Rattus norvegicus: one gene and its partners. The protein of the gene in region 2 interacts with the protein of the main gene of each other region in a biochemical or structural test. Links are inferred from orthologs where the notes say so. Each region holds a gene or a part of one and is shown on either strand. Other genes may lie near its edges.

Region 1 (6,147 bases), on a different chromosome or scaffold from region 2:
TAAATAGAAATAGTATTGATGTACTATAAATGATTTAAAAATTAATATCTAAATAACTTAGAAAATCCTGTTTTTTATTAAAAGGGAATATGGCTTCATCCTTCATAGGCTGATAAATGCTCATGAGCCTACTAAGCAATGCCAGTAGGAGCTGGTTAGGAGGTCAAAAGTCAGCAAATCAGCAACAATGTAAGCCAATGGTGCAAGTATTCTAGTTTCCACACAACTATTCCCCACAGCCCTGAGGCCCAAGAATAGGCAAGAGAATATTACTCAAAAAATTGAAGATATATCTTTCTTTGCAAAGACCAGAAGACAGTGTGCACAAGAATGCAACTGAAGAGGTGACAAAGCAAAACAGTGTTCAGGATTGGTGATAAAAAAAATCATACTCCTGCCACCTTTACCCAAGACAGGTTTTACTTGTTTCCATGTAGCCTCAATTTCAGGGTCCACCAATTCTGCACACAGAAACTACAAGGTTCAGGGTTTGATAGCACCTTCCTCATATGCTTGCTTTGTTGCTCCAATAGCCATACCTTTTGGGAGAAATGAAGGGAATGCAGAGAAGCAACACAGCAAAGACCTCTGCGTAGAGGAAGGTGGCAACTGCAGTCCACTGCAGACTCATCCTGTGACTTAAAGGTTTCCAACAGATGGATAGGAGCTTGTTTCCTGACAGGGCACAGAAGAAACAGGAGGAACCATGAGAGCTGAGAAGTCAAGGACATCTAGTTCAGGGGCCTTGGAAAGGCTAGGGTTGCCACTCTTCACAACAGACCACAGGACTCTGCTTCAGAGCTTTTAAAACCCTGGTTGAAACAGGGCTTAACCCAACAGCAGATACTTGACCAATGATGCTAACCAGGCAACAAACTTCCCTGGACAGTTACTTTTGACCCTCCAGCAAGTGTGTCACTATGACTAGGTACTTTTGTTGATAATTCCTTTCCCTGGTGAGTCCAAGAGACTTAGACCTGTTTAACTTAAGAAAATGTTTCTCGTAAGAATAGGAGGACCTTCTCAGCACCCACCAGGCTCCCCTCCAAGGCTAGTCTTGTATAACTAAGAAAATGTTTCACATAAGAACAGTACATAAAAAGGAGGGCCTTCTCAGCACCCATCAGGCTTCCTTCCAAGTCTAGAAGCCTCTGCTGCAGGAGCTACATGTCTTTCGGTCGCTGCTACAGTGTGACTGGGACTGCAGTGTTCATACATGTATCTTCTGCAAACGCCACCGCTTAAGCCTCTGTACAAGAAAGGAGGCCCATTTCCTCCAACGCTTATGAGGGGCAGATAAACCTAGCAGCCTCCAGCCTCCTCCTCCTAAAGCTGCTTTTTGAGAATTAAACAGGCCTTCAGAATGCTTCCACGAATTCACAGGGTGTAAGGCCTTCACATACATACTCTCAAAAGGCCCACAAGAGCGACTCCTAGAGGGCGAGAATCCAGGCCAAAAGCAAATACAGGTTTCCACAGAGCACGTCAAGGCCTTACTCGGAGAAAGTTCCAGAACCAGAAAAGTCTCTCCCGAAGCCAAGAGACCTCCCTGCATCCTAGTAAGCCACAACGCCTAAGTCCATCGCTCCAGATGGCCTTCGAGGAGCTGGCCCTACCTGGGCAGCTCTTCCGGGTGGGACTTCTCCACTGCACCCCCCTCGCGCCCCCTAGAGTCCGGCTCCACCTGCCTCCACAACATCCCTCTGCCTGATCCCGTCCTAAACTTACAAGGCCCGGATCCCTACACTTCCCAGAACCCAGTCTTTGTGGGATGCTCGCTTTCCTCCCTCATGAGGGGACTCAGGAGAACCTCGGTGGTCCTAAAGTCAGCCATGCACGCGGACGCAGCTTACCGAGTTTCAGCCTACGCGCACGCCCCACTGCAACTACCAAACTCTCACCAAAGCTCAGATCCGCCCCCTAGCCCACGGCCGGAAACCGGAAACGTGCGTCGGGCCCCGCCCAAAATCGTCCTGAGGCCCCTAACGACTCCGCCCATTGTCGTTTCCCGCCCCGCCCTTAGGCGCGGCTAGTTACCAAGGTCTTGAAAGGAAGTAGAGGTTGGCAGCTGAATGCCTCGCCTCCGACACTTCGGACATGCAGGGGTGGAGCTTGGAGGAGACTTGGCGGGAAGGCTAAGGCCGCTTCTCTAGCCTACGCGGACATGCTTCGTCTCTGTAGTCAGAGAGGGGGAGGGACCCAGCGGTAGGGCGAGAACGGGGTGGGGCGCCCCTAGCCCGGACTCCGCCTCTTGCCTCAACTCTGCCTCCTCTCCCCCAACCAGCACCCCTGGGGAGGGGTAGGTGGGTGGGGATTCAGGGCCTTGGTGTAGACGCTGTGGTTACTGCCCGGCTGCAGAGCGGACAAACACGCCTAGTGCCCCGGGGAGGGGCGTCACGGGGGGGGGGGAGGAGCAGTAAAGAAGAGGGAGGTGGAAGGGAAGAGACAACCTCTCTGTTTAAGACCTCTCGAGGCTCTGACCTCAGGGGCTAAGGGACAATCTGTGGAGGGAAGCCAGTTTCCTCCACCCGGGCTGCCTGAAGAGGCCACGACCCTGGAGGATTCTAACCCAACCGATCCAGGGGCCCCAGCACCACCCCGAGGGCCTAAAGCAACAGTCTCAGGGACCACTTCAAGGTTTCCAGTTGCCTAGACAACGAGCCCTGGGTCAGAGAAACAGCCCTTCCAGGATCTGCCCGCAACTGTAGCCTCGGGCAGCAGTTCCAGCCCTCAGCCTGCTCACCAGTCCAGGTGACATGCCGGTACTCTCCACTCCCTCCCGGCCCTCGCGGGTGACCACGCTTAAGCGCACAGCTGTGGTCCTGGCCCTCACAGCCTATGGAGTCCACAAAATCTACCCTCTAGTACGGCAGTGTCTGACTCCTGCCAGAGGTCCTCAGGTGCCAGCTGGGGAGTCCACGCAAGAGGCCTCTGGGGCCACCACAGCCAAGGCTGGCATGAACCGGGTATTCCTGCAGCGGCTCCTGGTGCTCCTGAGGCTGCTGTTCCCCGGAGTCTTGTGCCGGGAAACAGGGCTACTGGCCCTGCATTCTGCTGCCCTGGTAAGCCGAACTTTCCTGTCTGTGTATGTTGCCCGCCTGGACGGCAGACTGGCCCGCTGCATTGTACGTAAGGACCCAAGGGCCTTTAGCTGGCAACTGCTGCAGTGGCTCCTCATCGCCCTTCCTGCCACTTTCATCAACAGTGCCATCCGCTACCTAGAGGGCCAGCTGGCTCTTTCTTTCCGAAGCCGTCTAGTAGCTCATGCCTATGGCCTCTACTTCTCCCAGCAGACTTACTACCGAGTAAGCAACATGGATGGACGGCTTCGAAACCCTGACCAGTCTCTGACAGAGGATATGGTAGCCTTTGCTGCTTCTGTAGCCCACCTTTATTCCAACCTGACCAAGCCACTCCTGGATGTGGCTGTGACCTCCTACACTCTTCTTCGAGCTGCCCGATCCCGAGGAGCTGGTACAGCCTGGCCCTCAGCCATCGCTGGCCTGGTGGTGTTCCTCACAGCCAACGTGCTTCGAGCCTTCTCTCCCAAGTTTGGGGAGCTAGTGGCAGAGGAGGCACGGCGAAAGGGGGAACTGCGCTACATGCACTCTCGAGTGGTGGCCAACTCAGAGGAAATTGCCTTCTACGGGGGCCATGAGGTGGGGCAGGTTGAGATGCTGCTTACATAGCAGAGGAAGTGGCTGGGAGACCTATTGCAGCCAGCTATGAGCAGTAAGGAAAGCCCAAAGCCTACTCCAGCTAATGTTAAAGTTGTGAATAGGCAGTGGGACAAGCTTGGGGGTAGTAGGCATTGGATGGCTGTATTCTTAAGATGCAGAAATGGAGAAATGGCACCATTGGGTGGGAACTTCCCTGTGCTGGCTGCCTGCAACCTCCAAGCCACTTCTGCTTCCTTGGTAAAATTGTCTTGGACTTGAGCTTTGGATTCTATCTACTACATCACAATTTGTGATGCTCTGGTCCAGCTTGCTCCAATCTTGCAGTCAACCATTCCTACAGCCAACTGGGAGGAATTAGACTCCTATCATCTGGGAGCATAGGACCACAGCCTGCCTCCTAACCTCTCTCGCCTCTCTGGGCCCTTTGAAGGCTGGCGTCCAACAGAGTTGGCTGGCTGGGCTGTCCGGTATTATGGGCATGACTCAGCCCAAGCAGAGGTTAACAAGCAGAGCTCAGCACAGCGGCTGCAGCAGCAGTGTTGCTGCTCCGGGTCAAGGCTGTCAGAACCCCAGGCATGTCTGGTTAGTGACTGACAGGATTGGCAAGCAACCTGCCTAGTTGCCTCCCTCCCTCCCAGGGATAGGGATGCCTGACCCCAGCGTCTGCCAAAGAGGCCTGACAACCTTCCTCTCCTACCTCCCCACCCCCACCCCCAGTGTAGCCACCCTTCTACCCAGATCCCAGCCACTTTATGAGGTGGGCTGGAGCCAGGGAAGCCTGGCAGACACTGGGAAAGGATACTTTAGGCCAGTGTAAACTTTATTCTCTGGCAGCCCCTCCCCTTCTTTGTGCCAATGGTTGCAGCTGCCTCAGGCCTTGTTCTGGCTACTGGTTTCGGTTCCCCAGTGCTTGGGGCAGGGGAGGGATACAAAAGCACCCATTTCATGAAGGCCTGTGTGTTTCCTGGATCAGGCCACTTGCCACAGGACCTTGTCCCATTGGCTGCATTTCATATAGACAATCAGTTTTGTCCTTGACTTTTGGAAAGGATTTGTCTCTACATTCTGCTAAGAGAATTTTTGCTGGCCCAGGTCAGGTTTCAGATTAGGAGGAAAAGTGCATCACCCTTACTATAACCCCTCTCCCATTCTCTTCTGAATGCTGGGCTGCAGGGCTTTGGCAAGCTGCCAGGGCCTTGGGTGAGGCACTTGGCACAATACCTGTAGCTATGCCATCAACCTTAGCTGGTGCTGCTACCAGCTTGAGGCATGAGCCTAGATTACCAGGGTGCTGCAAAGGTGGTGCACTCACTTCAGGAATGAGAGGCTAGGTTTTGGAAAGCTGGGCTATATGAGCACTTCTAGGCAGAGAGCACAAAAGAGAGAACACTGGTATTTAAAAAGACTTCCTCTGGGCTAGCTTCAGGAAATAGCACATTAAACAATAGAGGTCACTTGCTGGGACCCAGAGACCTTGTGTAAACCCTTGGCCTGCTTGTCTAAGCCTCATCTGTAAAGCTGTATAGGGTGATGGGCCACCATGAGTGGATTGACTGCCCTTGTTGTATAGGCACATGTCCCACTCCAGTCCCACTGGTTGCTGTACTGTGGACATGGGCCTGGATTCTAGTCAAAAATTTATGAAAAAGGGACTAACTGGCTGGCTGGCATGCAAACAGCAGGGTATAATATTCTTACTAGAGTTTCAGGCAGTGCACATGCATGTGTACAGACATGTATACAAACCTTCTGCTTAAAAGAACAAAGTAAATCTCAAGTCATCTTCATTTGTAAAAATCTGGTTATTAGGTTGAGGCAGGAGGTTGATTGTGAGTTCAAGGCCAGCTTGGGCTACATAGTGAGTTTCTGAGCTACAGAGCAAGGCTGTCTCAAAACACTATAAAAGCCAAGCATGGCGGTGCACACCTTTAATCCCAGCACTTGAGAAGCAGAGACAGGAAAATTGCCACAAATTTGAGGTTGACCCTGGTCTACATAAAGAATTCCAGACCAGCCAGGGCTATACAGTGAGACAGATCTTCTCTCCAAAAAACAAAACAAACACAAAAACAAACAAACAAAAAAAACAACCAGAAGTCTGGTTCTCTAGGGCTGGAATATAGCTCACCTAGCACACTCAAGGCCTAGAATGCCCAAGGCCCTGGGTTCTATCCACAATACCTCAAAACTAACTAAAAAATGTGGTTCTCTTAACATCCCAGTCTATGTGGTCCACATTTCTACACTCCTCGCTACTTCCAGGCAGTATGAGCTTGGGCAGATCACTTTGTCTCTCTCTGCTTCTGTGTCCTATAATAGACACAAGAATATGCACATTAAGGTTTGTGGCAGTAAATTGGAAGAAAGAAGACAAACAGTGCTGTGGTGTTAGGTATGGGGGGCAGAACATCCCCCAAAATGACCATAGTCACCTTGCCATGACTACTTTTGGATACCTCTAGACTCC
Region 2 (6,025 bases):
ATATATATATATACACATACGTATATATGTGTATGTATATGTTTAGGTTTTTCTCATCGTATATTGTAAGTTATGGAAATGCCTCATAGTCTCTGGATTATTTGTAACCTTTTGCAGGTATCAGCATTGCTGCAATAAGAAACTTGAACATACATTGTGTGGGTGGGGGAAGTGTGCCTGGGACAGAGCACACAGGACTTTAGTGTTTCCAGATTTAGGAGTTGCTTTCTTAAATATAATCCTCAAACTAAGACTACTTTCTCAAAAATTTGTATATTATGAGAACATTTTCTCAAGTTTTATACATTCTTCAAGTTCAGGCAAGAATCTGGCTCAGCAGTTCACACCCATAATTCGTATTCTTGGAAGCAGAACAATTGGCTAAAGAGTGAGACCCTGTCTCAAAGAAACAGATATCTCGGGCTGGAGAGATGGCTCAGCGGTTAAGAGCACTGACTGCTCTTCCAGAGGCCATGAGTTCAAATCTCCACAACTACTTGGCAGCTCACAACCATCTATAATGAGATCCGATGCCCTCTTCTGGTGTGTCTGAAGACAGCGACAGTGTACTCTTATACATAAATAAATCTTTATAAAAAGACATTAAGAAGTGGCTATCTTGGTGGTTAGAGAGATGGTTTAGCTGTTTAGAGTAAATACTGCTCTTACAGAAGACTCAAGTGCAGTTCCCAGCACCCACGTCTGGTAGCTACCAACGACTTATACTCTTACCCCAAAGGGCTTTGCCACCTCTTGCCCTGAAAGCATAATGTGTGCATGCATGTACAATTTTAAATAATTAGAAATACTTTTAAATATCGACAGTCAGATCTCTGAGTTCTAGGCCAACCAGTGCTATGTAGTGGGACCTTGTTTCAAAAAATGGTCTTTTTATAAGTTTACAAATTAAATTTCAATTGTATAAAACACTCTAATGGGAGTTTTGTAAACAAAGTTGACAATCTCTGCTTCTTGAAGTTTATCTAACTGGGGGAAAGAATGGATGTATGTGTAATAATTGTAAATATCAATCAAGAATCTGAGATTAATCAATATGTGGTGGAGAGCCATTAAGTCCTTAGGACTTGTATGGAAAAGTTTCATGAGCAGGATAAGGCCTGGTGGTGCATATCTGTGATCCTGCTGTTTGGGAGGTATAGGCAACAGGATGAATGAGTGATTCTAAGCCAGCCTGGGCTAAGTGAGCCCCCAGTTGAAGTAAGCAAAAAAGTGGAGGAGGATGTTATAAAATAATATCAGTACCCACTCTATATTAGGAAGGCAGAAAGATCCATGGGGGCTGAGGGGAGAAAGTAAGCATTGAAGTAGGATGCTAGAAATACAGAATAGAAAAAAGAGCCAGGTATGGTGGCATGCCCATTTAATACCACCACCCTTGAGGCAGAGGCAGAGGTATTTTTTAGTTCAAGGCTACCCTGGTCTACACAGTGAGTTCCAGGAAAGCCAAAACTACACAGGGAACCGTCTCGATAAAATAAAAACAAAACAAGCTCACACACACAAAAGGAAAAGAGAAATAATTCAAAGAAAGAATCATGTTTGTTTTTAGTCTGCTTAATTAACATCTGTGTTTCCAATTCTATTTCTAGTCAACCCTTACAGGTAGGACCAACTCTGATTCATTTGTAGGTTTCACTGTGCTCAGCATGCTTGTATACAACGATGCTCACTACACGCTAAAAATAAATTCGGTAATCTTTGTTTATCTGTTTTGTGTGTATGTCAAGGAGCATACTGCAGAGGTCAGAGTCCAGTACATGGTAGAAATCTCTCCTATCATGTGTGCTCTGGGGATGAAACCAAGATTGCCTCAATCTGGCAATCCTGTCTCAATCTAAAAATTGCTCGTTTAATGATTTCATATTTTAGCTAAGCCGTGTGCTGTAATCTCTGTCTTTGGGAAGTGGAGACAGTAGGATTGGAAAACCCTGCCTGAAAACAAAACCTCTCCAGATTAAAGATTCCAGATTAAAGAGACAAACACCACACAATAAATCCCTCCCACCCCTTCTGCCCGTCCCCTCAATCCAGCTGGGCTTGGTGGGTCAAGTATTTGGGAAGTGGAGACGGGAGACCCCGATTTCTGGACCAGCTTGAGCAATTTATCTAGTTCAAGGCCGTGTAGCTCCAGTGATGGAGTGCTTGCTTAGTACGTCCTAGGTTGGAGTCCCAGCACAAGAAAAAGACAAAAACAAAAACAAATCCAGTCTCTTGTCCCTTTAAAAATGGCGGTCCGGCAGGTCGAACGATATTATTGGCTGCTCAAGTCATGGGGGCGGGATTGAGGGTGGGGCATGTGGTGGCGCCAGTGGTTCCACCTCCTACGGCAAGTCGGAGGCAGCAAGATGGCGGCTGCTGAAGGAGGTTGCGGTGCTGGGGTCGAAGCGGACCGGGAATTGGAGGAGCTTTTGGAAAGTAAGAGCCCAAAATGGGAAAGTCCAGAAGTATCGGGGGAGAGGACCCATCATGGGGGTTAAGTGAACTTGAGATTTTTGGGCGGGGCGGGAGAATCTCTTCAATGGTTGGCGGGGGAGGTGGTCTGAGTTCGACCCCGGCCCTCTTTATTAGCTGAATCTGGGTGTTCACCTTAGTCAATGATCTATCCAAACCGTACATCTCCCTGCGAAGGGGAAAACTAACCGTAATGAGCTGTTTCACGACCCCCTTACAAACTTCTCTTGCTTTAGACTGTCGGATTGTTGTTGAGGCAAGGTTCTCGATATCCCAGGCTGATCTGTAACTCGCGACAATCTTCTGCCTCTGCCTCTGGGAGTACCGAGATCACAGGCTGGACTCACCATGATCGGCTTCAGTAAATTATTGAAATCACCTCCCCTTTCAGTAGCAGGATTCTCAGAACAAAATAACCTTTAAGCTCTATATGTACGTGGTAGAATCTTTCTTAACCCGAAACGCCTTTTTACCTCACAGTCTTTTTTTCCCTCAGGCTTTTATCAGACCCTTAGTTCTTTCTTGCAAGTAGTGTGATTTTGAGAGCCTGTCTTGTGTAGTCTATTTAGGCTGACCTCACACTAAGGACTGCAGGCTAGCCTTGAACTTGTGATTTTTTCCGGTCCCTTCCTCAGAATGCCTGGCATCCTTTTTTATCCTTTGGAAAAACAAAGTGAGCCAGTCCCAGAGGAAACGGTTTCTTCTTCCTCAAAAGATGGTGGACCTTCGTTTCTGTCTTGGCCTTGCACTCCACTCCGGTTTTCTGCCCGAGTGAAGCCAGTGCCCTTTCCCTAGTCCTGGCAAGCAGAGTGTTGGTTACAACACAGGCTTTTCAGGGCAGAGGTGAACCTTTTATCTCTTGCTCAGTCACAACGATGTAGACAAGTAGAAAATGAACAGATATAGCAAGAGGAGTGCTCAGTGACTGGATTGGCCCATGGATACTGCATATGAGGCCAAGGAGGCTATAGGTGCCTACTGAGAACTAATTGGAACATAACTTAAGAGTTAATACCTTCCTGTAGAATGCATACTAGTAGTTAGACCTGTGGAAAGCTGGGTGGTATATTCTGTGCTTTCTTACAAGAAGTTAATTAGCTAAGGCCTCAGTGAATTCAAAGAAACAAGGCTCTCGGGGCTAGGGATTTAGCTCAGTGGTAGAGCGCTTACCTAGGAAGCGCAAGGCCCTGGGTTCGGTCCCCAGCTCCGAAAAAAAAAGAACCAAAAAAAAAAAAAAAAAAAAAGAAACAAGGCTCTCCCCTCTTCAAGTTAGACGAAATGTGTCGAACTTTTAAGGGAATTTTTTTTTTTCGGAGCTGGGGACCGAACCCAGGGCCTTGTGCTTGCTAGGCAAACGCTCTACCACTGAGCTAAATCCCCAACCCTTAAGGGAATTTTACAATTTGCCCTTTTAAAGATTTCTCTGCCCAGCTTTTATTTAATTCTTTCCTCCTAGTTCTGAGGTGAACACTGGTTCTGTGTAAAAGGGTTTTCTTCCCAATTGGTCACAGTAAACTAGATGTTTCCCAAGGAAGGGGGGAAGCCTATTGACGAGTGGTCCAGACAGGAGAGCAGGAAGAGAGAGAGAGAAGTTCAGGAGAGTGGTCACTTTATATCATTTTCCTAGTAGTTTGCTTCAAATCACACAGCTCTCTAGCCTTATCCATCCCCAACATACCCACCATGTCTCTTGTCTCCGAAGGTGCTCTTGATGATTTTGATAAAGCCAAACCCTCCCCAGCACCCTCTCCTACCATCTCGGCCCCCGATGCTTCAGGGCCCCAGAAGAGATCGCCAGGAGACACTGCCAAAGTATAAATTCTATCCCCTTAAGGGAGGGGGAGGATGGGTATGCAGTTCAGAGCAGGGGTGGGGCAGGCCCCTGTGGGCCAGAGGGGTGGCTGGGAGGGTACCTTTGCCTCATACTGCTGAGTGTACTTCCAGGCCTCAGTTCCTATGAAACAGGGATAACGAGGAAGTGCCTCGAGTAAAGAGCAGTTTTAAGTGGTTGGATTTGTGTGCTGCCTCAGATTATTCCTTCAATGGCCAAAGTCTTTGCTTGCTGTCCTCCTGAAAAGAGGCAGATGGAATGTTCAGTGGAGGTGCTTGTGGGGGAAGATGTTTCATTTCCCAAAACCTACAATCTGAGCTCCTGTAAGAGGCTAGACCCAGGGTGATGCTGTAGGAGGCAAATTTTGTAAACCTCTCCCCTGCAGGATGCTCTCTTTGCCTCCCAAGAGAAATTTTTCCAGGAACTGTTCGACAGTGAGCTGGCTTCCCAAGCCACCGCAGAGTTTGAGAAGGCAATGAAGGAGCTGGCTGAGGAAGAGCCCCATCTGGTGGAGCAGTTCCAGAAGCTCTCAGAGGCAGCTGGGAGAGTGGGTGAGGAAGCCCCAAACACAAAATGCTGGACAGACCTCTTAATCGCTTAAGAATAGCAGGATTGTAAAGTTGATAACAGTCACGATGTCACAGTCACAGAGTGGGGCAAGGCAAGAGGAAGAGACATGGGAAGCTTGCTTACTAAAAGAAAAGGGTAAGATGTTTTGGGAAGCAATAAAAAAAGGTTATTCCAGTCAGGCGTAGTGGCGTATTCATTCAATCCCAGCACTTGAGAAGCAGAGGGAGGTGAATCTTGTGAGTTTGAGGCCACCATGATCGACATGGTGCATTTTAGAACAGCTAGAACTGCAGAGTGAGACGCTACCTCAAAAATAAATATGATTCTCCCAAACCAACCCTTGTAAAGGAGTGTTACTGTAGCGAACAACCAACACGTTATCAATATAGACTTACGGCATGACCGTGAGGTAAGTACAGAACAGTGGAGATTTGGAAGAGGTAGTAGTTTCCTAGGAAATGCTTTATATCCAGACTGGTAACTAGGCAGTGTAGACAAGCTGACAGTTAAAATCCTAGGTAATCCTCGTTCTTTCCATCTCTCCTAGGCAGCGATGCAAGTTCTCAACAAGAATTTACTTCTTGCCTAAAGGAGACATTAAGTGGGCTAGCCAAAAATGCCACTGACCTTCAGGTAAAGGGAAAGGAATAAGATGTTTCCTGAGCATTCTCTCAAAATAGATGCTCTTGAGGTGGGCGGTGCTGGAGCGATGGCTCAGTGGTTAGGAGCACAGGCTGTTCTTCCACAAGATTGGGGTTCAATTCCCAGCACACACATGCCAGCTCACACTTACCTATAACTACAGTTCCAAGGCTTCTGACACCTTCACAGAGATGTACATGCAGTCGGAAAAAAAAAAAAAAACATAAATAAGATTAAACTTAAAAAAAAAAGTCTAAGGGTTGGGGATTTAGCTCAGTGGTAGAGCGCTTGCCTAGCAAGCACAAGGCCCTGGGTTCGGTCCCCAGCTCCGAAGAAAAGAAAAGAAAGAAAGAAAAAAAAAGTCTACTTCTTTTTTTTTTTTGGTTCTTTTTTTCGGAGCTGGGGACCGAACCCGGGGCCTTGCGCTTCCTAGGCAAGCGCTCTGCCACTGAGCCAAATCCCCAACCCCAAAAAGTCTACTTCTAAAAGCTCTGGCATATCTCCCCAAAT
Region 3 (5,502 bases), on a different chromosome or scaffold from region 2:
ACAATGTACAGTTGGGCCATATCCTTGAGCGGGAAGGAGGCTGGGACAGTGTTCAGGACTGGATGGATGTACTCAGCGGAGGAGAAAAACAAAGAATGGCGGTCAGTGCCCTCTGAAACTGGGACCAAATGTTCACTAAAGTCGCTATCAGAGTCCAGAATTCGACTAATTCAGACAGGGCTTTATCTTGTACTCAGCAAATATTATAGTGTGTGTTATTTTAAATTATAATAAAAGTGCTAGAACATGTTTCACTTCACACAAATGTGATATTCTGAAAACTGTGTTAGTTAGGAATGCTGCTGTCCTGTGAGAGGGAAAACTATAGAGTATTAGGTGTAAAGTTAGGCTGCTTTCTAGACAGTGGGCCTGTGAGGAGCCCGGTAAGTCTTTCCCCTAAAGACGGCCTGTTAGCTCCTGCAGGCTGCTGTCCCTGAACAGCGGAAAGCATTAGAAACACCATTTCTTCATCCTTCTCTTTGTCCTTGTTCCTCCCTCCACGGTCAGTTACTTGTAACTTTGTTTCTTCTGTCACTAACCTACTCCCGAAGTTACTTAGAACTTTTTAAAACTTTCCTAGTACAAAGAAGAATTGGAAACACTTTAAATTTTATAATAACAAAGTTATCTTGAAGATAGATAGCGGTTTTCCTCTCCCGTATTCCATCCTCTCCTTATTTGTTGTTCTCTAAGCTCCCACAGAACAGCCCAGCTCCAAGTTCTAAATGCTCCCACTGTCCTAACAAACAACAACATGGTGGGGTCCACTGTAGCAAGACCAGTCTCAGTGATAAACACTATGGCCAAAGCCAATTTGAAGGAGAAAGTCTCTTTTAGCTTTTGTGTTACAGTTCATCACCTGGTGAAGTTAGGGCAGGAACTCAAGGAAGTAAGACTTGAGTGGAAACCATGAAGGAGTGCTGTGGACTGCCTTGCTCCAGGCTCATGTTCACGTACCATTCCTATTCAGCACAGGGCTGCTTGCTCAGAGATGGCACTGCCCGGGGAGCTGGGCCTTCCTCCATCAATTAGTAGTCAAGAAAGTAGGCTAGGGATGGCGCAGTATTAAAGAGCACTGTTTGCTCTTCCAGAGTTCCTGGGTTTAACACCTACTACCCACATGGCATCTCGGCTGTTGGTGACTACAGAGGTCTACATTAGATGTCTTGTGGATTTACTTCTTGAGACAGGGTCTGTCGTTGAATCTGGAGATTATAGGTTGGCTAGGCTGGCTGTCCAGCACGCCCACAAGATCCTTCTTTTCTGCCTTCCAGCACTGGATTAGAGTTGATGCCACCATGCCCGACTGTGTTTTTGTGTGGGTTTTGGGGATTTGGACTCAGGTCTTTGTGCCTGCACAACAGGCACTTTACCCACCGAGCCATCTTCCCAGGCTCCCCCCCACCCCCCATTCAGTTTCTGCCTTACGTCTTTACTGCTCAGCAGAACTCGTTTTATATTTGAATAAGAGCTGTGGTTCAGGTCAGTAACAGCTAATGTTTGAGGGCTTAGTAGATGATAGTCAATATGCCAAGAAGACTACAAAGGCTAACATATTATATCTTTTAAAACAGTCCTATGAAATAACTAATGTGAATATCCCAGTCACCAAGGAAGCTATACTTCAATAGTTTGGGGCTCGCCCAGCAGACAGTTGCTCTTAGAATTGGTGAAAGATTGCTTATCAACAGCAGTTCAGACAGAATATTGGTTTAAATACTTGCTTTACAGCTTGCTTGTTTTGTGGAGTCAAGTAGCTGACAGCATGGGGAGAGAAGGGGACACACACACACACACACACACACACACACACACACACACACACGGTGAGAATAGGTTCATGGAGCACAGAGGCACGGGAAGTACTGTCAATGCACTGTCTGTGGTAATGTCTGATGCTTCCTCTTCTTCAGTTCACGCACATAGGTGTGACCCTCAGAAAAGCCATTTGTTCTAGTTACCCACTTGCTATCTATACGTGAATGGAACAGCTGTGTGACGTGTCCGGTATATTGTAGTAGTTTAACCATGGTTTCTGCTTCAGTGAACTTTACATTTTAGGCAGCCACACAGAGAAAGATGAGCTCAGGTTTGCCATATGCAGCAGTCCCATAAGGGCCCACGTGGACTGAGAGAGTGACTTACGCAGACGCTTGGAAGATATCTAGACCAGAGCCAGATACTGGGACTTGAGAAAGAATAAGCTGTTGTGAAAGCACAGGCATGGTTCAAGCATTCTGGAGTTAGAGGCAGGAGGATTGCCATGGGTTTGAGCCAGCCTGGGCTAATCAGAGTGAAAGCCTCTATCAAACAGACAGAAACAGCACAACAGTGAGAAGAGACGGGAAAAAGAGAAAGGGAAGAGTGACATGACAGACAGCCTCTAAGGCCTGGGGCATCTTACTCCTAGTGCTTGATGGGAAGAGGCAGAGCTGGCTGGAGCTAAGATCAGAGCATGGCAGGAGGAAGGGGATGGACCATGGAGATGAGGAGGGAGACGCTGTGGAGAAACTTTAAGTCAGGTGGGGTTCTTTGCGTTACATGTATAGTAGATGCTCTGGCTACATGGAGAAGAGTGGACAGCAGAGAGGGCGGGTGGTTGTCATGCAGGCAAAGAATGAGTACAGAGACGTCGTGGCAGAGACGGAGAGTGTGCGCACTCGAGACTCCACGAGACTGAAAAGGGGGGATGAGAGGGAGGGAAGGAAAGGGGTCAGAAAGATTCAGCTCCTAGGTGAGACTAGGTGAGGGGGGGGAGAGAGGAGAGAGAGAGAGAGAGAGAGAGAGAGAGAGAGAGAGAGAGAGAGAGAGAGAGAGAAGGATCTGGGATTTAGTTCTGAGGCCCCCCCAAGTGTGCACACTGAATGCCAGGTGGGAAGGTACCAGAGAGGAAGCAGGGCAGCAGGGGAGGGCCTCCAGTGGGCACCCTTACTTGTTCCTCAGGGAGGAGTGCCTTGAGGAGAATGGTGCTCAGAAGATGGATTAGGGTTAGGAAGGTGTCTGATGGTTTGCAACATGAAGATCTCCTTTGTGGACATTGACGGAACATTTCCAGGAAATACAATACATTTGGAATATAAGTGAGGAAAATTTTCCACATCCTGCTAATGAAGGAAATGTAAGCACTAGCACTCCCAAGTTCATTTCTAAGATCAGCAGGTTTCAGAAACAGCACACTTCAGACCAGCAGGACAGGCCCGGCAGGTGCACTGTCGGATTGGTGGAACACCGACAGATGCCTTTACTTAAGCAACAGTCGGGGGATTCTGTGCGTCTGAGCCATCTGCAGTCTGACTTCTAAGTTTTGGCTAAAACACAAGCTGGTTTGTCTGTTGAGTTCATCTTAAAACTCAGTTCCAGCTCACACCAGTTTTTGGTTTTTCTTAGCAATGCTTATTTCTCACACATTACATTTCTCCTTTTGTTTAAGATGACAGTAAAAATGATTCATTTTATTTATATTATTTCTATCTCTGGGGTGACACTTTTTAGTTAGGAATAGCTTTCATGTTTTAGCTCTGTAAGACTCCAAAAGTGTACTTACTGAAGTGAGCTTATCCTTTTGCTAGTTTTATCTTAGGCCGACCTCTGTTCACACAGACTGTTTCCTTCTGTGCTTTAGATGGCAAGATTGTTTTATCATAAACCCCAGTTTGCCATTCTGGATGAGTGCACAAGTGCAGTTAGTGTGGATGTGGAAGACTACATTTACAGCCACTGTCGGAAGGTAAGTGTCCCGGAGCGTCTGTATGCCATGTCCACTGCAGGCTTGGAGCCGAAGGCAGCAGGATTGCTACGGAAGGTAATACCTTGCCTTGTCTTTAACCTGGTAACTAATGTCTGTAACAGAACACAAGGACTTGTCAGTGTATTCTAAATACAACTCAGACATGAACACAGTACAATTATCCATGCATTCTAAATCTAACTCTCTTTAGCTTTAGCAATCTCTTAGTTGTGGTACAGTGTTTAAATCTGTTCTTTTCTATCATTACTTACACGCCGTTAGCCAAAAAACACCAAAAATCAAGAAGCCTCTGTTCTTTCTTTTGTTTCATTAACTTTACCTATATATCACTTTTTAAACTAAGAAAAATCAAGAGTAACCATATGGTAATTTAATTTTTTTTAATTTTTATTTTATGTGGGCATGTGTTTGTGGCATATGAGCCCGTTGTGCTTGTATGTGCTTGTGTGAACGGTGGTGTGCATCATATGGTGCATGTAGAAGACACAGCTTGACTCTGTATCTTATCTCTATGTTGTTGACGAGGCAGCTTTCTTGCTGCGCTGGAGTTTGCTGACTCAGCGAGTTCTTGCCCTGTCTCTGCATTCTGAACACGAGGTTTGCAGGCAGTCCACAATGCCCACCAGACAAAATCCAGTACTCATGCTGGGACAGCAAGGGCTCTACCCACCGAGTCATCTCTCTACCCCTTCATTTATTATTTCTTAATTTGTCCGGTTTACTTTATTTGGATAGTATTATCTAAAATAAGTTTCTTTGAGTTGGCAAGTAGGAGGTGGGCTGGGCTACCATTATTTAAATACTTGTTCACTAGGCCTGGTGCACTCTTGTTAAATTTGAAAAGTAATAGTACATTCTATTATTCTGTGTAAATAAATGAGTTACAGGAGTATTTTAACAATTTATTTATATTTGGGGAGTTTACCATAAAAAAGTCATGTTGTACATGTGTGTACACACACACACACACACACACACACACACACACACAGAGTTCCTGCCATTTGGAGGATGGCCAAGGGTCAGCAGCATTGACAATACCTGGAAGTTGTTAGAACTGTGGAGTCTCTAACTTTGCAGAGTAGAACCAGTGTAGTGACAGACTGTCACATGGGTCAAGTGCGTGTGAAAGGGTGAAGTGGGTGCTTCAGGAGTGTCTTCAGTCTTCTCTACTGGAAGACTGAATTGAACTATGAATTGCATTTCTTTAATGGCTTATTTCTCTTCTCTAATCCTTTTGAGTAACTCATATGTGGTTTTCAGTTTTATAGGCATTAGAGATGTTTGTGGTGTTTTCACGCGTAAGACCATATAGACTGTATTGCACTTGGAGGCTTTTCCAGGACCTCTGTGTTGTTGCCTCTTTTGATTTTGAGATGTGTAGGTCTGTAAAATACATCTCATTTGAGGGGAGAAAAGTTACTCGAGGTCTTAATGATAATTTAAATCATACTGGTTATTAAGAAGCAGACAACGAGGGACTGCTTTAGAAGGTTTAGAACCTTCTAAAGCTGTTGCTTTGGTCTGTGCGTGTGTGCTGGTGCTCACGTAGGTCAGAGAACTGTAGTAGTCCGTTCTCTTCCACCATGGCAGTCCACAAATTGATTGCTAGCCTTGGTGGCAAGTGTCTTTACTCACTAAGGCATCTTGCAAGCCGTACACCTTTTTCTAACTATAACTATAAATTTACAGATGAATTAAAGCAACACTTAAGCTCAATGTAGAATGTTTGATATTAAAGAGAAAAGTGGTGT
Region 4 (5,502 bases), on a different chromosome or scaffold from region 2:
AGCCCAGTTGCTGCTTATGGCCTAAAACTCAGGCCAACTGAAGAATGGTCGCACCGTGTACCAGCAAAGAGAGGACTGAAGTGTCCGATGTTGCGTGGCATCGGTGTGACACGTCCTTGTGCTCCAGCCTTACATCCCCATCCTGGATGCATGGTGGCACACCTCAGAGCAGTCCTCTGATCCCGAGGGAACACCGTGACTGTCTGCTTAACCCGGGCGACACACAAGATAACCCAGAGAGAATACACGGAGTGTCTATTGAACCTGGCCGACACTTGGAGAAATCTCTGGACCAAGGGAGCTGATTTTTCATTTACAGTTGACTTTCTCTCGCCACAACGAGTACTCTAATTCTCAAGTATATAACCTTGTGTTCAGATGCTTCTGTGTGGTTATGAGGGAAGATGGCCAACGATTTGGGGAAAAACAATGTGATTTTCTATGCTTGTCTTAGTCTTAATGCAATGTCAGTCAAGGTAGTTAAGATTTATTATCTAGCATAGACACAGTAAAGACCTGAAGAAGGCCCTGCAGCATGAATGGACAACCTCAGGACGCTAAAGTATAAAACGTGATAGAAAGGCCTGAATAGGACCGGAGCCCTATATTTTTGTAAGAAGGCAACATGACATCGAATTATTCTTTGGAGCCATTTACTCTTTCCTAAGACATCTGAAGTCTTTGAACACTCTTAACATGCTGTCAGATCTGAAAACTACAGGAAGTGGCATGGATCCAGGGTCAATTACCGTCAAGGCAGTAAGACAGAACTCAGGGAGTAACTGAGCCTCACCTTATTTCCCCAACAGTTTCTCTACGTGAAAATACCTTAAATGAGCGTAACCTAAAGGGCCTGAGAGATGAGCGCAACTTAATCACAAAAGCAACTGTTTCTATTTGATACAAAAAAAAGTCTTACCTCTGTGGAATATAGAACATATGTTGGGGAGGTGGTTTATAAAGGACTCCTTCATACACAGGCCAGAGCCCACTTAAGATTCTGAACAGAGAGCTTTTCCCACAACCATTGGGGCCGGTTATCAAAAGATGCATCCCTTCTTCTACCTGAAGTCAGAAATAGAATCATAAGCTGCAATGTTCAATAATTATTTCATCTGGGAGCATTTAAAAATGTTTTTTTTTAAAGTATCCAACCCATATGATAATCTTGGATAGTGAAGACAGCAAATAAAATATATCAGGATTGCAACTTCGAGTTTAACTTCGGCTATTCTATGGAGCTAAAAGTACCATAAAATAATTAATTGCAAAAATATTGACTCTTTTTGGAAAGAACACTGGCTCTCCGACACTTCAACTGAGATATTTTGAATCTGCACACAGATAGAGAAGTTAACTACACATGAGAGAAAATCAAATCATAGGGTTTAAGTTAAAATTAGATTTTATTTTACTTATATTACTATCTAATTAAACTAATATAAAATCCAATGCAACTGAAAGTTGAATATACTAAAAGCACATTTATCCCAGGAGCCAGGTGGGTTCTTAATTTTTTATATTAGTGTATGGAATGCTGAAAGATCACAAAAGCACATAAAAGAAAGATAATATTAGTCTAAGTCTGGTGCATTTATAGATGTAAAAAATATGTTTATGAAGCCAAGACAGAGGAAAGCAAGGGAACTGTAGTGTAGCATATGCCTAGGGTTGGGTTTAAACACATATAGTCAAGTCTCCGTATAGTCAGAACTGCCCTTCTGAGGAGTCAGCCAACTGGGGATTGTAATTACTTGAAGAAAAGAAAGGCTGCATCTGTATCAAATATATACAGACTCTTTTCCTGTATAAAACTGAACGGTTGAATGTTATCAGATTTGGGTGTCGTGGAACCTATCCCTTAAGGATATTTAGGAAGAACATATATACATATAATAATCACCTTCTCTCTGTAAATGGAGATCATATCCATATATTATTCATTCCATAAAACAAGTTTACTTATTAATCACTAAACCGAAACTCCCGTCTATCACTTGCCTTTGTTATCTATTAAGTTTAAATAGTTAGACTTCTTGACTTGCATTCAGTTTGATAGGGTGGAGAGGTTGCCTTCCTATCAGACATGTGCAGGGGACCACATGCGCAAGGAGCAGGACGCAGCTTACAAATTTGATTTGCTTTCTAATCAGGGATGCAAAAATGAAGATGAGGGGAAGAGAGATAGAAATCCACAGGATGTCTATGCATGCACCTTTTCATGGAATGGAGGATGTCTATGCATGTGTATTTTCATTGAATGGATACAAATATCCAAGTTTCAAAAAAAAAAAAAAAAAAAAGGAAGACACCAAGAGTGAAAGGCAAAGGTGGATTGCTAGTGTTCCAGAACATTCTGGGAGAAGCTACCAAGAAGGAGCTCTGTCTTGGTTCTTCTCTTCCACTAGACTTCTTGATGATGGGTGATTCACTTGCTAGATACCTGAGCACCATCCAAAAAGAGTTTTGGAAGGTACATGCCATGGTGAGCAGCGCATTCCTAAAATGTTTTAAACTATCAATTCCCGTCAGGAGTTCTTAGAAATTTAACACTTTTAAACTGATAACCGAGGACTTTTTTCATGTTAATATTTTCCTAACATAACTTCTCAGTAAATTATGATTATATTTTCTTAACATAACTTCTCAGTTAAATTATGTTAAGACAGTGCGAGGAAAAGAAAATCTCACACTTCGGATTTTCCCCACCCCGTTAAGTCATAACTTTAATTTTGAAGACCAACAAAGGGATAAATGTAATTTTCCTTAAAAAGCGTATATTTCCCAACCAATACTGAAGAAATGCAACTTTTTTATCCTATTCCAGGGAGATTAGAATTAAACTACACGTTCTGAAGAGAAAAGTAACAACCTATAAACAGCATGTTACAACAATGTCTATCTTCAGAGTACGTTAAAAATCCATAAGACTCTCCCGGTGGATTATTGCTTATTTCATACAAGAGACTTAGCTCTGAGTTTTTCCTCAGTGTATGATGGTTTTACAGAGACACGGTTAGAAGACATCAACTTGGAAAGCTTTGTCATCTTTTTATTTAAAAACTAAAGCAATGAGAACTAGTATTATGTTACCTAAATGGACCCAAACAGTAACAGAACCAGTTTCATTCCTTTTTTTCAGGGTGAGCACTGAACTCGAGCTTTGTGGGCTAGGCAAGTACTTCATCCACTTAGCTAGCTAAACTGCTGAACTACTAAGAGAAAAATAAAATGTTACATATTTGCAATAAGTAGCTAATTGGTGCACATGTCATATCCTAATAATAAAACCACTCTACGGGTTTATAATTGAATAATAAATCCCGGCCAAACAATTCCTCTTCAATTTATTAACAGGATTTCCCTGTGTTCAACACATCTTGGCCTCTCTTTTCAACTTCCAGTAAACCTGTACAACTGCAAATATATCTCGAATAACTGAGCCTAGGCTAGGATCTACTCCAAAATCATTAGTATTGTGATGCTCATAATTTGAATGGGGGACTGGTCATGCCTTTGATCAAACAGCTCAAATGTCTTTATCATAGTTCCTATAGTTTAAATCTGAAATGTCTTCCGTAGGATCACGTGTTGATCACTAAGTCTCCAATTTCTGGCACATTCTGAAGGGTGGTGGAAAGCCTCGGGCATGAGTCCCATGTGGAGGAAGGAGGTTAGTAGGAATGTGTCCTTGGGCCATACCTCCGCCTGACACAAATTCTCTTTCTCTGTTCTCCACCCAGCTTGCAGTAAGGACCTTCCTTTCAACATGTTCCTGCCTGGTGTTCAGCTGTGCCTCACTCCGAAAGCCTCGAGATAGCTCAACCCCAAATAAATCCCCTGAAAGCAGGAGCCGACGGGACACTTGCATGTGTATGGATACGTAAGCAACTAGTACAGCCAGTCAGCCATTTTATACGAAGTGTAATGTGTATGTTTATGTCTCACAAAGCCTTAAAACCAGGTCCTCGAGTTTACAAAATGTTTTTTGGCACTCTTTTTTTTTTTTTTTTTTTTTTGCAATTAAGATGCAGGATATTAAATAAATTATTTTCAACAGGATCAAAAACTAGAGTTGAGTCCATGAATCTTCTGATCATTTAAAGTCAAAATGAAAGTCAGGAAACCTGGATTAGTAAAACTAAATTTGATAATGGACCTCTGGGGAATGACAGTATTTCAGAGGGCATGTAAAAGTATCCTCTTAACATATTTCCTGACAACCTGTATACAAAGTTAAAATTCATTCCCAGATACTAATTTCCGCGATTTCCTCTTGTTTGCCCAGAGCTATGTCGCAAGTCCCCTCAGTGTTCTGTAATTTGATTTTCAATCTGGCACCAACGCGGCAGAGCTCGCGCTTCTCTTTTCACTCTGCTTTCTGAGGAAGTTACTGCGTCTGCAACTGAGACACTGTGCATACCTTTCGGATCCTCCCCTTTCCACACGCTCCTCTCCAAGCACTTAACATAAGGAACATGAATTCTGAGTTGTTTTCTATTAGTGTGAGGCCAACAATAGAAGATTCTTGGACACCATCTTACTTTGAAGTTCAGACTGGAAGCCACCACTTCTCCCGCCGGCGTGATTATGGGAACATTTTCACAAAGGATTCCATGATCCACGTCAATGACTGTCCCTGTAACCAAAGAACGCTTGAAGTTGCAAAGGCTACCTCATTACTTCTAGTTTAACTGGAAGAATGATACAGCAGGATGGGCGAACTCAATTATAAAGATAATTCACACTAGTAAGTCATAGAAGAAACACGTGAAGTCAGCTTAATATCTACCTGTTTTTAATCGATTTAGAAAATCTGTCTGATAAAAATAGCTTTACAATCGAATATCAATATCTTTGGCCTAGTAGGCATAAGCTATATCTGATGTAACCAAGCCCCACAGTTTAGAATTACTCTGTTCCCCTATTTCCTACAAGAGAGAAAGGAATCGAGAAGTGATATATTTCAAGACATGGTAAACATTTAGAAACCCAGAATAATGAAAAACAATATGGCACTATCACTAATGCTATTTATTGGTTCAAGATTTAAAAGCAGACAGTTCATGCAGCCATGTGTGCTGTCTGCGAATACAAGGCTAACACCGTTTCCCTGAGATTAAGTGTCTCATTTCCTTAGGGTCCCACTACTTATCCCTGCCCCTACAACTGTAACACTAACACAGAGGCTATTTAAATATCAGTTTCTTGTAATTACCGGAAGCTGTTTCCTAAAGAAGAAACCTCCAGTTCTTTTCGTAAAACGACAATAACCTATAAGAAAAATGTTAAAAAAAAAACAAAACAAAAAACCGACAAACTACACAAAGCAACACCAAACCCTGAAGTAAATCACCTTTGATTGCCAGGGTGTCACTGAGGGGCAGCTCCAGGCCACCTCTACTCTTGCTATTGTTTTCAGGCTCCTGAGTGACAGTTCTCTTATAAATGCCTCTCTTCACTTCATCGAAGACCCAGAACATGTTGTACACTCTGGCAGTA
Region 5 (5,502 bases), on a different chromosome or scaffold from region 2:
TCTGGTTATACATGTGATGGCTCAGGATGAGATCTGGTTATACATGTGACTGGCTCAGGATGAGATCTGGTTATACATGTGACTGGCTCAGGATGAGATCTGGTTATACATGTGATGGCTCAGGATGAGATCTGGTTATACATGTGACTGGCTCAGGATGAGATCTGGTTATACATGTGACTGGCTCAGGATGAGATCTGGTTATACATGTGATGGCTCAGGATGAGATCTGGTTATACATGTGATGGCTCAGGATGAGATCTGGTTATACATGTGATGGCTCAGGATGAGATCTGGTTATACATGTGACTGGCTCAGGATGAGATCTGGTTATTATACATGTGATGGCTCAGGATGAGATCTGGTTATACATGTGATGGCTCAGGATGCCATTTCGTGATGCTGTAAAGAGATTAAGGAGCTGTCATTCTAGAACCATCTCCCTCACGGTGCTTCCAGTGACCTCTTAACAACAAACGTTTATAAATACAATAAAAGATGATAGTATCAATTGTTGGCAGGTAAAAACCACATCGCCTAAAGTAAATTCAACACCAGACATAATATAGATCAGAAAATTTTTATTATTTAGTTTCTTTATAAGGTTATAAAAATTTAGACTTTTGTCTGTTCTTATAAGTAGTTGTTATCACTCAATTTTTGAAGACTTCACGTCAACTAACTCAGAACTTTAAAAAGCATTAGTGATCCCTTCTGAGGCAACTTGTGTGTTCTATTGTTCATCAAATTTATTGATCCAATAAGCCTGGGGACTGAGATAAGATGGAGCCGACAACTATCTCCACAATCTTAAAAGCTAAGTGAAACAAATGTCCTCATGGTCCAAGAGACAATCAAGTGTAGCCAGATCACTTGACCAGCAACTAGCGTGTGACTACATAACTTCTAGCAGCAGAACGCCCGGGACAGCCATGAGCAAATGCTTTCATTCAACCGCAAATTAATTCCTCTGTAAGAAATAATTTTAAAAATACTCTAAAATATTGTTCACCTGCCCGCAAACATGAAACACATCAAAGGTCTTGTTTGTCTCCATTTTTCCCTGTAGAATCAGGTGTACCGGCAACCTTATTAGTTTCAACAAAAACAGATTCAAAGGCAGCTTCCTGTTCCTCCAAAGAATTGGTGGTAGTGACTCCTTTAACTGATGTTGGGTTGGTAAAAGACTGTTGCTGCTTGGGCATTGTACTCGATTCTACTGTTTTTCTGCCTCTTCTTTTACCAAGAATTTTGACATAATTTGCAGGTATAAGTCCTGTTGTTTGACCGTCAAGACTAGCCAGAAGCCAGCCACGCACTTTGGGTTGTTGTTCTGAAGAAAGAGAGAGACAGTTTTTAAGTACACTCTGGAATAAAAAAAAAAAAAAATATATATATATATATATATATATATATATGTGTGTGTGTGTGTGTGTGTGTATTTATTTATTTATATATTACGATAATGTATGCTAAACAAAGTCAGAAACTTGTAGTGAGACAGGTAAATGAGTAGGATGTGCACACACACTCAAAAGCAAACATTAGCGCACCTAACCGGTCTAGATCCATTTTTCTTTTAAAATAAAGAGATGGAATCTCAGTCACCTAAGTGCTTTAGCCTCCTAGGTAGTAGGGACAATAGATAGTGTCACGCTTCAATCCCATTCTTAAATTTACAGTTTAGTAAAGTAATAAAATATAATAAATAGAAAAAATAAAGTATTGTAAGTATACGTTATATAGCATACTAAATAGTCCTATGAAAAGCATTGTATACTGTATAGGGATTAACAAGAATTTTGAATTTAGAAGAGACTATACAGGGAAGTCTTCTAATACTATGTATGAGGCATTTTCTCTGACTTTACTGTGTCTGACACAGGGTCTCATGTACAAAATAATAAAGGGGATGAGTTGAGAAGAGCAAGGGGTCAGTAGGGTTGGGAGGGGACAAGAGGATAACGGGGACAGTGGAGGTTAACACTTGTGATCCTGGGCTATACAGTGTGAGACCCTGTCTCAATCTCTTCCTTGAAAAGAAAAAAAAAGGAGGAAAGAAAAGAAAAAGAAAGAAAAAAAAAATCAACCAATCAACCAAACAAACATACAAAAAAACAACCAAAAAAAAAAAAAAAAAAAAAACAGACAAAAGCAAAACTCTGGTAACCATCTGTAAGGTGCTTTGTTTCAGTTTCAAATAATACCTTTACAATTATTAAAAACTAAAGATAATTACAACTTGTTACCTTTGAGGGCTAGATTTAGCATATCACCAGCACGGAAAGAAATTTCTTCATCAGACACAGCGGCAAAGTCGTATTCTGCTCTAGCAACTACATGGTCGTCCTCACCGTTTGCCCAGTTGGTGCTGTCTACAGACGAAATCAATGGTAGGTTAAAAAGTTAGCAAAATGCAGATGTTCACTGGCTGTGGCTTGTAAGCGGCACAAATCCAGCTGCCAAGTGGACGGGCCTCCCTTCCTAAGTAGCTCCTCACAAGGATCACTGTGAAGGGCAGGCAGGCTTAGTGTTGTACGAACGAACTACCACACTATCACATTCCTTACAAACTCTTCCCCTTTCTTACCCTCTCACTTTCAGTCAGGGGCTGACAATTCTTTCCTCCCTTTCTTCATAGAGGGTGAGTAGTGTACATTTTATATATTGAAGTCCACTAGGAAAAGTTTCTTAGATAGTATATAATTATTTATAAAACATGAAAAAGAAATTTCATGGGTTTTTTTTTAGGCAAAATTCAAAATAGCAGGGTTTTTTGTTTGTTTGCTTATTTTAAGTGGTAGTACATGTTTACTCAGAAGAAAAGAATACTCAGGGGAAGGATATTTCATTTATTTTGGGTTCAATGGCAAACACTCATTTCTGTATTTCATTTGTGAAATGCTAATTGGCAGTAAGATTTGAGGTGCAATTCTCGGGTATCCAGGTTTGATTAAGCACACCCATTACTTGGGAGAGTGACAGACTAGGATATAATTCTGTTCACATTTCTCAACTATGCTGTGTACCATGTTATCACACTGCTGACTAATCATTTCCCAATGATACATCAGTGGGAGCTTGTCAGTTACAGTTAGAGTCTGAAATGTTGTTTCCTTTGCAACTAGAAGTCCAAAAACTGCTTCTGGGACTCAGTTTGAACTTGGAAACCTGTATGGGAGTGGAAATCTCACTGATTTTTAACATTTTTTAAAAAAGACTTATTTATTTGTTTTATGTGAATACACTATAGCTGTCTTCAGACACACTAGAAGAGAGCATTAGATCCCATTACAGATGGTTGTGAGCCACTATGTGGTTGCTGAGAATAGAACTCAGGATCTTTGGAAGAGCAGTCAGTGCTCTTTAACCTTTGAGTCATCTCTCCAGCCCGATTTAAACATTTTTATTAGGATATATTAATTATACATAGTGATGGATTTCATTATGACATTTTCATAAATGGGTACAATGCACTTGGAGATATTTAGCCCATCCTCTCGTCCCTTCTCTCTCCTGTTAACCCCTTGTTCTTTCCAAGTAATCTGTCACACGAGACCCTGTCAGATATTAAAACAAAAAGACAAACACAGCATCCCCAACTTCTATTAAGAAAGTCCTGGGGGGTTGGGGATTTAGCTCAGTGGTAGAGCGCTTGCCTAGCAAGCGCAAGGCCCTGGGTTCAGTCCCCAGCTCCGGAAAAAAAGAAAAGAAAAGGAAAAAAAAAAAAAAAAAAAAAGAAAATCCTGGAGGGGAAGTCGGTTTGTAACTGCTGCCCCATCTCTGTGGCCCCACTTGACATGACAACAGTGCTGCATCACCGGGCAGCTGGAAAGCCTCAGGAACTGCCCATAGTCTCTGTGGCTGAACAGAACCTGAACAACCATTAACTTAGAAAATGTTTCTCAAAGATTTATAAATTTTGTTCAACTAAACCCTTTTAGACTTCACATATTTTGACTACTCTTGCAGTACTGCTTAGTAGATTCCACTTCAGGCTATAATAAATCAGTGTTTCCAGTTTTAAAATTAGTCATATTGTATAGCTATTCACAGTGGCAAACTACATCATTACCTCAGATTTACCACGGCCGCCTCAAGCAACTGTGAAGTGTCAGGATCTAGTGGGTTATCACGAGCCAGAGAAAGCCACTCAAATAACTCGCCCCCTTTTCTTCTTCTGTGAGGTGAGGTCTGACACCAGTCCTTGCACATGCTAAGCACATGCTAAGCACATGCTCTGATAACATACAGCCAGCACCCTTCACTTATCTTCAGGTGGCAATGCCATTCTGAATGTTAAGAAACCAATCTCATTGACAGGCTAACAGCCTTAAAGAGACTTACTGTTTGCAGATAAATTTCTTTGGCTGTTGTAATAATTATCAATTAAGATTTCCTTCACTGGCTAGCAAATTAAACTTTGGTTTTAGCTTCTATTTCCTTTACTTTTGTGGGTAGAGTAGGAAATTTTTAGTTTTTAAGTGTTGATTTCTGTGACTACTGTTCAGTCTGGCAGCTGTAATAATTTAACACAACTATTGTGTCATTGCAGAGTGAACAAGTACTTTACCAAAATTCATTGTACTGTGTCTTTAAAGGATAACCCCTCCTTTTCAGATCTAGTGTGCTACATACAACCTCTTTATGAAACGTAGTATGTGACTGTGGTGGTCTGAATATGCTGGGCCCATAGGCAGTGCTAACATTAGGAGGTGTGGCCTTGTTGGAGCAAGCGTGTCACTGTAGGGGTGGGCTCTGGACCTCTCTACCCACTGCAGAAGAGACCTTCTTCCTAGCAGCCTGAGTATGAGTCTTCTGGTGGCCTTCAGATGGAGATGTAGAACTCTCAGCTTCTCCCACACCATGCCTGTCTGGATGCCGCCATACTTCCCACCAAGATGATAATGGTCTGAGCCTCTGAAAGTATTAAGTCTGCCCCAATTAAATGTTGTCCTTTTTAAGAGTTGTCTTGGTCACGGTGTCTCTTCACAGCAATGAAATCCTAACTAAGACAGTGACTTTGCTCATGAACAGAGCACTAGCTTAGCATGCTTAAAGTCTATATTTAATTCCCAGCTGCACCACCAAAAAATACTGTCTTAGAGTTTCTGCTGCTGTGAAGAGACACCATGACCACAGCAGCTTTTATAAGGGAAAGCATTTAACTGGGGCTGGCTTACAGTTCATTTCAATGCATTATCCTCACGGTGGGGAGCAGGGCAGCCTGCAGGCAGACACAGTAGCTCAGAAGTCTACATCCACATCCAAAGGCAGCAGGAAGAGAGAGCTGCGGGGACTGGCTTGGGCTTTTGACATACTTCCTTCAACAAGGACATGGCTTCTACTCTTTTCAAATACTGCCACTCCCTGTGACTAAGTATTGAAATCTATGAGCCTATGGGGCGGGCATTCACATTCAAGCCACTACAACACTATAACAATACACGTGGGGGTTGGGGATTTAGCTCAGTGGTAGAGCGCTTGCCTAGGAAGCGCAAG

Evidence for each region.
Region 1: the proteins of Pex19 (region 2) and Abcd1 form a complex in vitro, tested with the Homo sapiens proteins (3 studies listed by BioGRID and IntAct, with this or other methods). The link is inferred for Rattus norvegicus from reciprocal best matches to the Homo sapiens genes PEX19 and ABCD1.
Region 3: the proteins of Pex19 (region 2) and Abcd3 form a complex in vitro, tested with the Homo sapiens proteins (4 studies listed by BioGRID and IntAct, with this or other methods). The link is inferred for Rattus norvegicus from reciprocal best matches to the Homo sapiens genes PEX19 and ABCD3.
Region 4: the proteins of Pex19 (region 2) and Abcd2 form a complex in vitro, tested with the Homo sapiens proteins (3 studies listed by BioGRID and IntAct, with this or other methods). The link is inferred for Rattus norvegicus from reciprocal best matches to the Homo sapiens genes PEX19 and ABCD2.
Region 5: the proteins of Pex19 (region 2) and Pex13 form a complex in vitro, tested with the Homo sapiens proteins (2 studies listed by BioGRID and IntAct, with this or other methods). The link is inferred for Rattus norvegicus from reciprocal best matches to the Homo sapiens genes PEX19 and PEX13.

What each region holds. Positions count from the first base shown.
Region 1 is NC_086039.1:156,577,475-156,583,621, forward strand, and holds the start of Abcd1 (ATP-binding cassette sub-family D member 1), read left to right. Parts: upstream 1-2,322; 5' UTR 2,323-2,756; coding exon 2,757-3,659; intron 3,660-6,147. Other genes in the region: Bcap31 (B-cell receptor-associated protein 31), read right to left, coding at 540-631. UniProt on the Homo sapiens protein: ATP-dependent transporter of the ATP-binding cassette (ABC) family involved in the transport of very long chain fatty acid (VLCFA)-CoA from the cytosol to the peroxisome lumen.
Region 2 is NC_086031.1:87,122,358-87,128,382, forward strand, and holds the start of Pex19 (peroxisomal biogenesis factor 19), read left to right. Parts: upstream 1-2,366; coding exon 2,367-2,436; intron 2,437-4,174; coding exon 4,175-4,284; intron 4,285-4,688; coding exon 4,689-4,854; intron 4,855-5,420; coding exon 5,421-5,506; intron 5,507-6,025. UniProt on the Homo sapiens protein: Necessary for early peroxisomal biogenesis. Acts both as a cytosolic chaperone and as an import receptor for peroxisomal membrane proteins (PMPs).
Region 3 is NC_086020.1:212,541,037-212,546,538, reverse strand, and holds part of Abcd3 (ATP-binding cassette sub-family D member 3), read left to right. Parts: coding exon 1-101; intron 102-3,622; coding exon 3,623-3,727; intron 3,728-5,502. UniProt on the Homo sapiens protein: Broad substrate specificity ATP-dependent transporter of the ATP-binding cassette (ABC) family that catalyzes the transport of long-chain fatty acids (LCFA)-CoA, dicarboxylic acids-CoA, long-branched-chain fatty acids-CoA and bile acids from the cytosol to the peroxisome lumen for beta-oxydation.
Region 4 is NC_086025.1:124,173,342-124,178,843, forward strand, and holds part of Abcd2 (ATP-binding cassette sub-family D member 2), read right to left. Parts: coding exon 5,357-5,502; intron 4,640-5,356; coding exon 4,545-4,639; intron 4,070-4,544; exon of another isoform or gene 3,744-4,069; intron 1,066-3,743; coding exon 920-1,065; intron 1-919.
Region 5 is NC_086032.1:101,804,109-101,809,610, forward strand, and holds the end of Pex13 (peroxisomal membrane protein PEX13), read right to left. Parts: intron 2,376-5,502; coding exon 2,250-2,375; intron 1,334-2,249; coding exon 1,035-1,333; 3' UTR 565-1,034; downstream 1-564. UniProt on the Homo sapiens protein: Component of the PEX13-PEX14 docking complex, a translocon channel that specifically mediates the import of peroxisomal cargo proteins bound to PEX5 receptor.